Caenorhabditis elegans: one gene and its partner. The protein of the gene in region 1 interacts with the protein of each later gene in a pairwise test. Each region holds a gene or a part of one and is shown in the gene's direction. Other genes may lie near its edges.

The links.
Region 2: the proteins of set-6 (region 1) and prde-1 interact in a two-hybrid assay, tested with the Caenorhabditis elegans proteins (one large-scale study listed by BioGRID).

The regions. Positions count from the first base shown.
Region 1 is NC_003284.9:11,969,357-11,976,757, reverse strand, and holds set-6 (Histone-lysine N-methyltransferase set-6), read left to right. Parts: upstream 1-2,078; 5' UTR 2,079-2,081; coding exon 2,082-2,168; intron 2,169-2,250; coding exon 2,251-2,394; intron 2,395-2,492; coding exon 2,493-2,588; intron 2,589-3,163; coding exon 3,164-3,265; intron 3,266-3,379; coding exon 3,380-3,484; intron 3,485-3,629; coding exon 3,630-3,937; intron 3,938-3,984; coding exon 3,985-4,237; intron 4,238-4,767; coding exon 4,768-4,899; intron 4,900-4,951; coding exon 4,952-5,503; intron 5,504-6,037; coding exon 6,038-6,157; intron 6,158-6,223; coding exon 6,224-6,451; 3' UTR 6,452-6,728; downstream 6,729-7,401.
Region 2 is NC_003283.11:15,536,353-15,541,334, forward strand, and holds the start of prde-1 (piRNA biogenesis factor prde-1), read left to right. Parts: upstream 1-1,891; 5' UTR 1,892-1,905; coding exon 1,906-2,085; intron 2,086-2,155; coding exon 2,156-2,521; intron 2,522-3,514; coding exon 3,515-3,855; intron 3,856-4,968; coding exon 4,969-4,982. Other genes in the region: F21A3.4 (Trichohyalin-like), read left to right, coding at 314-364, 419-649, 1,145-1,297, 1,350-1,634. UniProt on the Caenorhabditis elegans protein: Nuclear factor required for the production of piwi-interacting RNA (piRNA) precursors. Specifically required for piRNAs produced from loci associated with the Ruby motif. Promotes binding of the transcription factor snpc-4 at piRNA genomic clusters.

The DNA.
Region 1 (7,401 bases):
GTAGGTACAAGAAGCTTCACGTAGTTACAGAAATAGTACATTTTCAGCCCTACCTTATAATGCGTATTTTATTATTTAATGAAAACTACCATTTAGAGGCAAAAATAGATGAATTTTCGTAATTTTGAAAATTCATAAATCTCTTCAAAGTAACTTTTTTCGAAATGTCTTTCAGAAACTTTGTAGTAAATTTTAAGCTCTTTCAGAATATATTAACAATATTTCAGTAGGTACAAGAAGCTTCACGTAGTTACAGAAATAGTACATTTTCAGCCCTACCTTATAATGCGTATTTTATTATTTAATTAAAACTACCATTTATAGGCAAAAATAGATGAATTTTCCAAACTTTGAAAATTCATAAATCTCTTCAAAGTAACTTTTTTCAAAATGTCTTTCAAAAACTCTGTAGTAAATTTTAAGCTCTTTCAGAATATATTAACAATATTTCAGTAGGTACAAGAAGCTTCACGTAGTTACAGAAATAGTACATTTTCAGCCCTACCTTATAATGCGTATTTTATTATTTAATAAAAACTACCATTAATAGGCAAAAATATATGGATTTTCGTAACTTTGAAAATTCATAAATCTCTTCAAAGTAACTTTTTTCGAAATGTCTTTCAGAAACTTTGTAGTAAATTTTAAGCTCTTTCAGAATATATTAACAATATTTCAGTAGGTACAAGAAGCTTCACGTAGTTACAGAAATAGTACATTTTCAGCCCTACCTTATAATGCGTATTTTATTATTTAATGAAAACTACCATTTAGAGGCAAAAATAGATGAATTTTCGTAATTTTCAAAATTCATAAATCTCTTCAAAGTAACTTTTTTTGAAATGTCTTTCAGAAACTTTGTAGTAAATTTTAAGCTCTTTCAGAATATATTAACAATATTCCAGTAGGTACAAGAAGCTTCACGTAGTTACAGAAATAGTACATTTTCAGCTTTACCTTTTAGTGCGTATTTTATTAGTTAATGAAAACTACCATTAATAGGCAAAAATAGATGGATTTTCCAAACTTTGAAAATTCATAAATCTCTTCAAAGTAACTTTTTTCGAAATGTCTTTTAGAAACTTTGTAGTAAATTTTAAGCTCTTTTAGAATATACCAACAATATTCCAGTAGGTACAAGAAGCTTCACGTAGTTACAGAAATAGTACATTTTCAGCTTTACCTTTTAGTGCGTATTTTATTAGTTAATGAAAACTACCATTTATAGGCAAAAATAGATGAATTTTTATTAAATAATAAAATACGCTCTAAAAGGTAGGGCTGAAAATGTACTATTTCTGTAACTACGTGAAGCTTCTTGTAACTACTGAAATATTGTTAATATATTCTGAAAGAGCTTAAAATTTACTACAAAGTTTCTGAAAGACATTTCAAAAAAAGTTACTTTGAAGAGATTTATGAATTTTCAAAATTACAAAAATTCATCTATTTTTGCCTATTAATGGTAGTTTTTATTAAATAATAAAATACGCTCTAAAAGGTAGGGCTGAAAATGTACTATTTCTGTAACTACGTGAAGCTTCTTGTACCTACTGGAATATTGTTGGTATATTCTAAAATTATTCAGCTATATCGTATCGTATTCAGCTATATCGTATCGTATTTAGCTATATCGTTTGTCTTTTGTGCCTTCATTCTTTTAAAGACATAACATTTTACTAATAGGCTTTTTTTTCTAAATTTTGATACTGCTCATACGAATACAATTGAAGATTTTAATATTGTCTTCGCTCCTCTCACATTTGTCAGTCAATTGAACTGGTTAGAATGCACTCTCTAAATCTCTCTTCCCCAATTCCAGTCTCTCTTCTCTCTCAAACTGCTTTAGTATCTGCGTCTGTTAGTACGTCTGCTCTCTATTTGTTCCGCTTTTTCACTGGACAAGATTATTGATTTTTTCAAAACGCGAGTTAACTTGTCATATTGTTAGTTCTTTTTTTCGAAAGTTTTCAATAATTGAATCTTATTTTTTCTTTGTACTATAGTAATAATCGTAATTTTTTATTCATCGACATGAAATTCATTTTCCACAACTTTAATTAGTTTACTGCTTATAGAAAATGGAACGATCTCGAACTGGAGGTTCATCAACATATTCAATGTCAACAGCAAATGTTCCAATAATAACAATAAGTGACGACGACGATGTAAGTGCCATTTTTGTAGATGGAAGTTTGTTTGAAATAGAAACGTTTCCTAGATTTCATTTTCACGATAACTTATCTTCAGGAACTGACCATTTGGGAAGAACCACGGAAAAGCCCCATCTCATCAAATAGTTATTCAGATGAAAGAAATCACTCCCTATCTAGCACATCAAATAGCTCTGTTGAACGGTCTATTATAATTACAATTAGTGATGATGAATCTGAAGTAAGTTTTCAATGTTTTTGACTTCTCAACAAACAAAAAGATATATATTCTGAATAGTTGCAAATTTATAGTTCCGCCTAATCACAGTCATTTTACAGGCTACGGAAAGAAACCAGCAGGAAGTTGTTGATCGAGCGATTTCAAATAATTTGACGGAAAAGCGTAGAAGATCAGTTGAATCTTTTCATAGATTAGTAGGTTGTTTTTATTTTTGAAACGAGATTCTTCAAATATAACAATTTCAACGGTAATATCTACTAGCCTAATTTTAACAAAAAATGTATTCTCTGCACAGTACTGAAAAAAAGTATGAAATTGAAATGTGCAGCTTGCTACTAATTTTTAAATAAGTATAACGTCAAATGCTCATTGAAGCAGTCTGGCGACTTTCAGCTCCAAATTTATTGAACTCTGGAAAAATGATTCGAACGTGAATAGTCACTAGAGCAAATTACTCAGAAGTGACAACGGCCTGGAATGCAGATTAACTGGATTGCTCACTTCTATAACTAAAAACTACTTTCAAATTGTATTTGTTTAATGACAATGTTCACTTTTCATGCTAGAAACTAGAAATTTTTAAAAAAAGTTTTGAATGTGAAAATACAGAAAAAATACGGTTTTCATCCATTGGCCATTATCAAAATTGTTCTTGAACTGTTTGACTCCCTGATATGTTCATATTTTAATCGTACGTGATGAGAATTTGTTTGTATATCAAACAATTGCTACAAAAAAAACATAATTTTCACAATAATACTAATTCCAGCATTCGAAAGAAAGAAAACTGGAAGTTAAGTCTCGAAAAAAGAGTAGGACCTCATCGAGCTCAATGGAAGCATCCACATCATGTACATTTCCAGCACGCCAAGTGGGTTTTACATATTTTATTGCCACCGAATTCCGTTAGTTCAAATTCGCTAAGAACATTTACAGAGAGATTTAGAGAGACCCCTCCTTGTGCAACAAAATGTTTTTTTTTCAGACAAAAACAAAACGTCATAAAAGGAAAACATACAGCACAATATCTTCGTTTGCTCCTCATCACAGTACTATATGTGCAGAACTACGAAACGTCAACCCAGCGAGGGTAATCATATTTACAGATTTTAAAAATTTGAAAACCGAATTGAATAAAACTGTTGTATTTACAATAACTGAAAAACAGTGCTCAACTGTATCATTCAAAATTATCTACTTATTGACAATGTTCTAGCTGAAAATTGTATTTTCAGATTGCGGACTTTCGTCACCCATCTATTTTTGAGTACTCCGACATGAGCTTGAATGAAAGAAGAGAACACTGGAAAAAAGAAATGAAAGTAATAAAGAAACACAACGACATCCGTCTAATGCACGAAGAAGCTGTTAGGTTCGACGACATTATAGAGCTAGACCCAACGTTGAATGGATATTACCGAAGATTCATGGGAGCCGAGCAAAGCACGAGAGCTCTGTTTATGGCTGTTCGATGTCTGGCCACCTTTGGCCGTAATTTCTATGAAGAACCTGAACGTGATCATGGGGAAGAAGAAATACCTGAGTGAGGAATTTTTATGTAGACTTATATGTTATAAAGCTTAATTTCAGAGAGCTCGACCGTTACTTTGAAAAGTTGATATATGTGGCGCCTAGAACACGGATTCGTATTACGGATGATATTCACTTGTCAAATGATACCCACAGAATTCCAGTTTACACAGATGCAAAAGGCGAAACACTAAAAACAGTCAAAATTCCAAACCCCCTTCTTTATGATCACATTATCAACAATATGGTGGACAAAGTTAAAGAGCCGTTGCTATATGAAGCAATCAAAATTGCAGGATCGTCAGAAAATGTGGTATGATGTTTTTCGATTCGAATTTATAAAACAACTGGCAAGTTGAAAAATTAAAATTGTAATTCGATAGTTTTTGCAACGACAGGCTTTGGCAATAGAAAAACATTCTTGAACAGTTGTGATGAGCGACCTAAGAAAAAACGTGTAGAATAAGTAGTAGTAGAGAACGTCAAGTTGGAGAACAAGTAAAAACCATTTTTATGGCTCTAAAATCATCAAATATCACAATTGTAAAATTTTGAACTTAATTTGGAAAACGTTTTGATTTTTTTCAAAATCCGAGAATAAAACGGTAAAAACTGAGTTTTCATCAACTTTATGTTTAAAAAAAATGTTTTTCTTCCAGTTTCTAGTAGTAGTTTTATGTTTGAATTATGTTTAAAATATTTTTAATTCAAAATTGTAAGGGGTTGAAACTGTTAGAATATTAAAAAACACTCTAAGAGAAGGAATTATATATGATTTAAAAATAAAAGTAAATGACAATGCAATATTTCATTTAGTAAAAGTATATCAGCTTTTTTATTCAGATTCGTTGTAAATGTTGTTCCCAAGATCCAGTCGTCAACTGTTTTGATAACAAAGATTGCCCGTGTTTTATTGCAAATCAGTTTTTGCAATCTAGAAACAAAACAACGGATACAAATGAAAAGTTGAAATTTGTAAGTATATTTCTCAGTTTTAATAATTATTTTGCAAATTGTCTATTTTCAGCATACTTTTCAACCCCTTATGTACAACGATGGAAATCCGACTTACTACAATACTGTTGGGTTTGCATGTTCACCAAAATGTGCTTGTAAAGGAGCTTGCACTAATAATGCAACGTACTTGATTCAAAAGAAACTGTACTCTATTGAAATTTATCGTGCAGATCCTCAAATTGGATTTGGAATTCGATCTACTCTGTTCATTCCAGCAGGGACTCCAATTATTGAATACTGCGGAGAACTAGTTGATGGAGAACGGCTGCATAGTTCATTGGAAAATTATAGTTACCAGTTAACTGACTGTGAAGGAGACAAACACCTTTACAACCTGCTTCGTGAAAAGTACAAAAACAATCCAGAATACTATGATGTACTGGACGAATTGAGCAAGCATCATTTTCACTTGGACGCCAAAATGCAAGGAAGTGTTGGCAGATTTGCAAATCATTCATGTACTCCGAATATGGAACCTCTTCGACTTTTCAAAGAAGGATTTACACCCGCCAATATGCGAATGATTTTTTTCACTCTGAAGGACATTTTTCCAGGAGAACCTGTAAGGAAATTTTTATATTTTTAAAATAAAGCAGCCATAGATGGGCCTGCCTGAAAAAGTGTCAATTCTGTTCCGGGTACAACATTTTAGTTACATTAAACTGAAAAAGTTCAGAATATATGGTACATTTTGCATGCAAATCTCATTTCCAATTTGTCCAATCGAGAGTCTAATAGAGGTTGCATATCATATTTTTTGATCAGTAAGACTTGTACAGTTTTGTATGTGATTTGAAAGACAAAAAATCACCTTAAATTACTCCCATTACACATTATTTCTTGAGAATCAACTGGATAAATATTGAAAAATCAACGAACAACTAAAAAATATACTTTTAAAATATTTCTGAAGAACATTTTATTTTTTCGATACACCACTTAGAGAGCAAGTCTAATAGGGACGCATTACTCAGAAGGAAAATACGGTAATCCTAAAAATTTGTGTTTTTCATAGTTTTTAATTTTTCATTGCAAATTATGAAGTCCATTTGTCTGAAAATGTTATATACATAACCATTTAAATTACTAATTTCAGCTTACTCTGGATTATGGCTCAGAATACAAGGTGTTTCGAAGGCAAAGATGTCTTTGTAGAACATTTGCCTGTAGAAGTGGGCCGCATTATGAGAAGTTTTCAAATTTGGATGGGAAATTGGTTAGTCAATGGTGTACACACATGAAGTATCACCAAATTTGCATATATGAATTGGATTGTTTGCAGATTGCATCATGTTTTGTTAGACTTCATCACGCATCCCGCATTCGATATTCGGTGGACTTACAGCTAATAGAAAGATTTTATTCTGTTGGAAAAGTTGAGGAGGTTCGGGTTGATCCATGTGTATCTTTTTCAAAATATAACCTGAAATGGAGGCGACAATTGTCTACAGCGACTTGTGAACGTTTGGAAAACGTTATTGAAATTGAACTGTCCGACGAAGATTCATAACTGCCATAAAATATGATCTAAATTTTAATATTTATGTAATAATTGTATCAAATTTGCTCTATTAAGCATGCACTTCATTGCTGAACTTTGGAATTTAATATTATCAGTTAATACAGTTTTACATATACAGTTTTAAAATAGTGCACTACGAATAGAGCAAACCAGATGTGTGACAAATATTATTTAGTTATGTTGATGTATTTATAGTCATTATGAATTTATTTAATGTGCATTTATATAATACATCGAATAGAAAAAAGTTTTGAATGAAATTGTGTGAATTCTAAAGCTTGTAAACGTTTGGAGACAGTATTACAATAATAAGTGGCAATAGTGAAGCGCCAGGCAATAGTGAAGCGCCAGACTGTACGTTTGGCTAAAATGTCATGTTTCAAATTTCCTCACCTGAGCATTTTTGTCGTTGCCGGTTTATTCATCCAAACGGTTAACATTTTGTACAGAAAAGCAAAAAAACATGAGTCTTCAGGTGTAACAGAGAGCATAATATGATCTTATCGATGGGAAAGTGAACTATGTCTGTGTTAAAATTGAAAGAAGAAAATATTGCATTTGTCACGTAGCCATCGAGTTATTTTAGACGTGATAGATTAAGAAACAAAGTGAATGCATTCATAAAGTTCGGATTCTCGCTCTGAAATAAAGAGTAAATTTATTATTTGCATTTTTCAAATTAAAATCAAAGGATTTTAAATATTCGATGTTTTGTTCTAATCATGAACAATAGTAAGAAGAAAAAACGTGAATTTATCATTTAATACTGATAATCTCACCTGTTGATGATCATTCTGGATTGCGAGGTGTCTTTAAAGATATTTAAGTATTTGAAAACTCCGCTGACTCTTTTCAAGCAGAGAGTCAGTCGAAATGAACAAAAGCAAAGTTTTGAAATCAGTTTGCCTCTTTGTATAGATTTGTGAAAATAGTGAGAT
Region 2 (4,982 bases), on another chromosome or scaffold:
CTCAAGAACGAAGTCAATGACGTGGTACTAATGTCGGTTTATTTTGTCGAATTTTTTTCGGATGAGAGGCATGACTCATAGGAGCAGAGCCAGAATTTTTCCAAAAAAAAACTTCTCCTCGGGGAGTACACGGATCAGAGAGCTTGAAAATCAAGTTTTATACTTTTATTAAATCAATTAATTACCAGCGTGAACATTCAAAATTTTGATTTTAAAATATTCCATAGAATTCAAATTTCTCGTGGCAAATGTGGAACCTATTCGACATTTGAATTTATTTCCGAATATTTTTCTCCGAAAAATCAATCGATAAATGGATATCAAAGTGATTCGCGAGAAGTTGACCCTGACAACGTCGATTACGGTGGGTTCCGCGCGAAATTTCTATTCGGAAAAAGTTCAAGTGATTTTTTTTCAGAGCGAATCGGTCGCCGAATACGAGCACGATGTCGACGAATGTTGTCGCCTTCTGGAGCACAAGCTCGAGCTGGAAATGGAGAAGAAGCTGCAACTGAGCAATCGGATCGATGTCGTTCAGTCGCAGGTCACCGAACTTTGGGATCGCGTGGATAAGGCGAGACGTCGCGAATCGGACATCTCGTGTCGCGTCACCGCCTGGGCTCAGCATTTGTCGGAGATGATGAATGAGGTATTACATAGTCGTCAAAAAATTATGTGGGTCTCACCACGCTGTGAACGAGGTACTGTAACTCGTGTCGATTTACGGGCACTAACCTATAAAAAGAACCACTAAATTTTGAGAATGGGTATTGCGCAACGTATCTGACGCGCAAAATATCCCGTAGCGAAAACTACAGTAATTCGTTAAATGACTACTGTAGCGCTGGTCCGATTCTGAAAATCAAAAAAAACTTCCGAATTTTCCGAGAAATGTTTCCGAAAATAAAAAAAAGCCCGTAAATCGACATCCGTGCTACAGTAGTCATTTAAAGAATTACTGTAGTTTTCGCTACGAGATACTTTGCCCGTCAGATATGTTGCATAATACGCATTCTCAGCATTTAGTGTTTTTGTAATAGCGACCCGTGAATTATCACAATGAAAAGTAACCTTTTGTCCGCGTGACGAGACCATGCGCGTAAGATATGGCGAAAACTAATATTATATGCAATTTTTTGTTCAGGTGAAGCTGAAAAAGGCTAAGATGGGCACAACGATGGAAATATCCGCGACACTTTCTGCTGAAATTCAAGAAAGTCTGGATTTACTCGCGGAAAAGCGAGTGATTGTTCAGAGAATGCGGGAGGAAATCGACTATCGTCGCCACTTGCACAAGGTTTTTATTAATAAATCTGAAAATGTTTAAAGCAATATTGAAACATTTTCAGCAACAACTCAAAGATTTGAAGCTGGATTGTGACAGAGAGGAGGAGAAATGCGAATATTGGAATGATAAAAGCGCTGAAATCGAAAAAGTTGTGGAAATGCTCAAAGAGCAACGCAAATCGCTTGGCGAACGTGTTGAAGAGGAGAAACGAATGGAGCAGGAGCAGAAGAAGATGCTGGAAGAGCTTGAAATGTTGTTGAAGAAAACTGGGAAGAAACGGCAGATTTTAGATGAAAACGCCAATTTGGTGGCTTCTTTCTCCAGTTTGACCGAGGAAAGCTCTTAATTTTTATGTTTTTTTCTTCAAAAGCATTTTTTTTGTGTGTTTTTTCCTCAAAATAAATCATTTTTAATTGTTTTAAAACATGTTTTTGAAATTAATCGTCAATAACGAAAGTTGCGTCAGCTACCACTGCTAGCGCGTTTCTCGTGTTGCTTGCGCTTTTCTCGATGGCAGCGAATTTTAAATTTAAATATTTAAATTTTCGTTTTTCCTGCCTAAATTTACTTGTTTTTCACCATTTTTCTTGTGAGTTTATCAACTTTTCAGGTAAAAAATGAACAGAAATCGCAAAGGACACGATTTAGAAAACATTGAGCATCGATTCACCGATGAGGACTTGGCAGGTCTGAAGGAGCAAAAGCTTTTTAATGGTAAATGGATTATTTTGGAGAAAAAGGAGAAACGAGGAGCCGCGTATTGTTATCTTGTGTGTGACAAGCCGTGCAAGAAATTTGTGAGTTATTAAAAAAAATTAAATTTAAAAAAAAAAAAAGTAAAAAAAAAATTATTATTCGAATTTTCAGGGGATTCTTTACTTGGAAATCGGCGAGGACAACGTGACAACCATCGCGAATCAAGTAGATTTCTATCATCAGCAATCGTCACTTGGCTATTCTCATCGATTTTCCGCTTTAATTGATGCCGGAATCATAAATAATCACGTCTTCTTCATGGTCGTCAGAATCCGTGCAGGACCCACTTTACATGATCTTTTAAAATGTCTGAGCAGTGATAAAATGTCCGTAACTACTGCCAGTTTCCTCGCTGTCGACATGATTTCTGCTATCGAAATTCTGTCAGCTTCCGGATGGGTTTTGAGAAATTTCGACTCGAAACAATGGATGTTGGATATCAAAACGAGGCAGTTTTATTTGGCCGATGCTACTGATGTACGGACTATGTTTCCGCTTTTAAAATAACAATTTCCACTAAAAAATTGCAAGAAAAATCGCGATTTTCAGCAACTTTTCACCTAGAAAACGCATTTTTTCGGAATTACACGAAAAAACCAATTTTCTTAAAAATTCACCTAAAAAATCTCGATTTCCAGCATTTTTTCACCTGAAAAGCGTATTTTCTTGGAATTGTACAAAAATCGCCGATTTTTAGCAATGTTTTCACATAAAAAACTTAATTTTTTGGATTTATACAACAAGAAACCCCGATTTTCAGTAATTTTCCTGAAATTCGCCCGAAAAATCTAAATTTTCAGCAATTTTCACCGAAAAAGCGTATTTTCTTCGTATTATACAAAAATCTGTGATTTTTAGCAATGTTTTCACATAAAAAACGTATTTTCTCGGTAAATCCACAAAAAACCAATTTTCAGTTATTTTTCTTGAAATTTGCCCGAAAAATCTCAATTTCCAGCAATTTTTACCTAATGGGGTTATTCAAGTAGTGTCGGAAAATTAAAAAGTGTAGAAAAATTACGTCACAACCTTATTCAAGTAGATAAAAACATGTATTTAAATACATTTGTGACGTCACAAATGTATTTAAATACATTTTGCTACATTACTTGAATAACCCCATAAAAATTTGAAATTTTTGGGAAAAATGAATAAAAGTCCCAGAATCGTCTGAAAATCAACATTGTTGGTTTCAAAAACTCCGCAAAACAGCGAGTTTCTTTAGAAAAATTATTAAAAACATATACTTCGTCAAAAAAAAACAATTTCTACTGAAAAAAACTAAAAATCGCAATTTTCAGTCGAAATTCGAGTTTATTTTTTCGATTTTATTTTTTTATTAATCAAATTTTTGATTTCTTGGAAGAAATTTCGGTTTCAGACTCTTAAAATAAACAATTTATGCATTTAAAACCCCAGATTCTCGTTAAAAATCGATTTTTCTCATACTAAAATTCCAAAAATTTGCAGATCACCGTCTCCTCTGACAAACGTCACCGTGCCATCGACGAGATTCATCTCAGAACAGCCGAATCTATAGATTTGCATTGGAAAACCGGAGATTTGATCTACGCGCCGCGCTCTTTTGTCGATCGAGATCAATCTCATCGAATGACTGAATTGGATATGATGGAAATGATGCTCTATGTGCTCTACGATTGGACACATGGAAAATTGCCGTGGAAATCGTCGAAATCCAGAGAAAGAATTATGGAAATGAAGGAATTGTTCATTGAAAATTTGCAAAAAGAGCCGGAAGAAACGAATAAAGTCGAGCAGCAAATTGATGTTGATGTTTGGTTCGATATCGCGTATGGATTTTGGAAAATTTAGCAAAAAAATGAGATTTTCATGGAAATTCATCCAAAAAATCGGGATTTTCAGTGATTTTTCTTCCTTTAAGAATGATTTTTGCTAATTACATTTTTAAAAAATCACGATTTTTAGCTATTTTTCATTTAAAAAATCATTTTCTTGCTAATTATTCAAAAAATTCAAATTTTCAGTGATTTTTCACCAAAAAAAGTAGAAAAAAGTAGATTTCTTGCAATTTACACAAAAAATCTCGATTGATAGCAATTTTCACCTAAACACAAAACAAATAATTATCCCAAAAATCCAGAATTTTAGCATTTTTCCTAAATACTAAAAATCATTTTTCTTGCAATTTTTATAAAAAATCGTCTTCTAATTTTTTTCACTCAAAAAATAAAATATTTTCCTGAAATTATCCCGAAAAGCCCCGATTTTCAGCTATTTTTCATCGAAAAAAAATCTAATTTTTATGAAAATTCACCCAAAAAACCCCGATTTTCAGCGATTTTTCACAAAAAAAGAATACAATTTTCTTCAAAATAACCCGAAAGGTTTCAATTTTCAGCATTTTTTTATGGAAAAAAACTAATTCACCCTTTTTTTTTTCACGAAAAATCAATTTTTTTAGAAATTCACCCAAAAATCCAGATTTTCAGCATTTGTTCTTCTAAAAAATATTTTTCTTGCAATTTACATAAAAAATCACTTTTTTTAAAAGCAATTTTTCACTTAAAAAAATAAAAATTTATTGTAAACCAGCCGTGGACCGCACCTTCGGCGCAGCCCCCGACTTCTGGGGCTGAAAACTAATTTTTCTGAAACTACCGTAATCATACAGTACTCCTACCGTACCACTATTGTACCACTACAGTACCCCGACTATATCCCTACACTAAGCCCAACTCACTATCCTCCAGAAGCCAAAACGTCACAGAATACAAAGACTACATAGACTACAAACTATGGACAAACGGAATAAGCGCTTTATATATAGTAAATGATTACCTGAAATATTTAGATTTTAAGCAATTTTTCCGAAAAATTGAATTTTCCTGCAGCATTTTCCATTTTAGCAGTTTTTTTTTAACGGTAAAAATGTCAATTTTCAGACTCCGAAACTTTG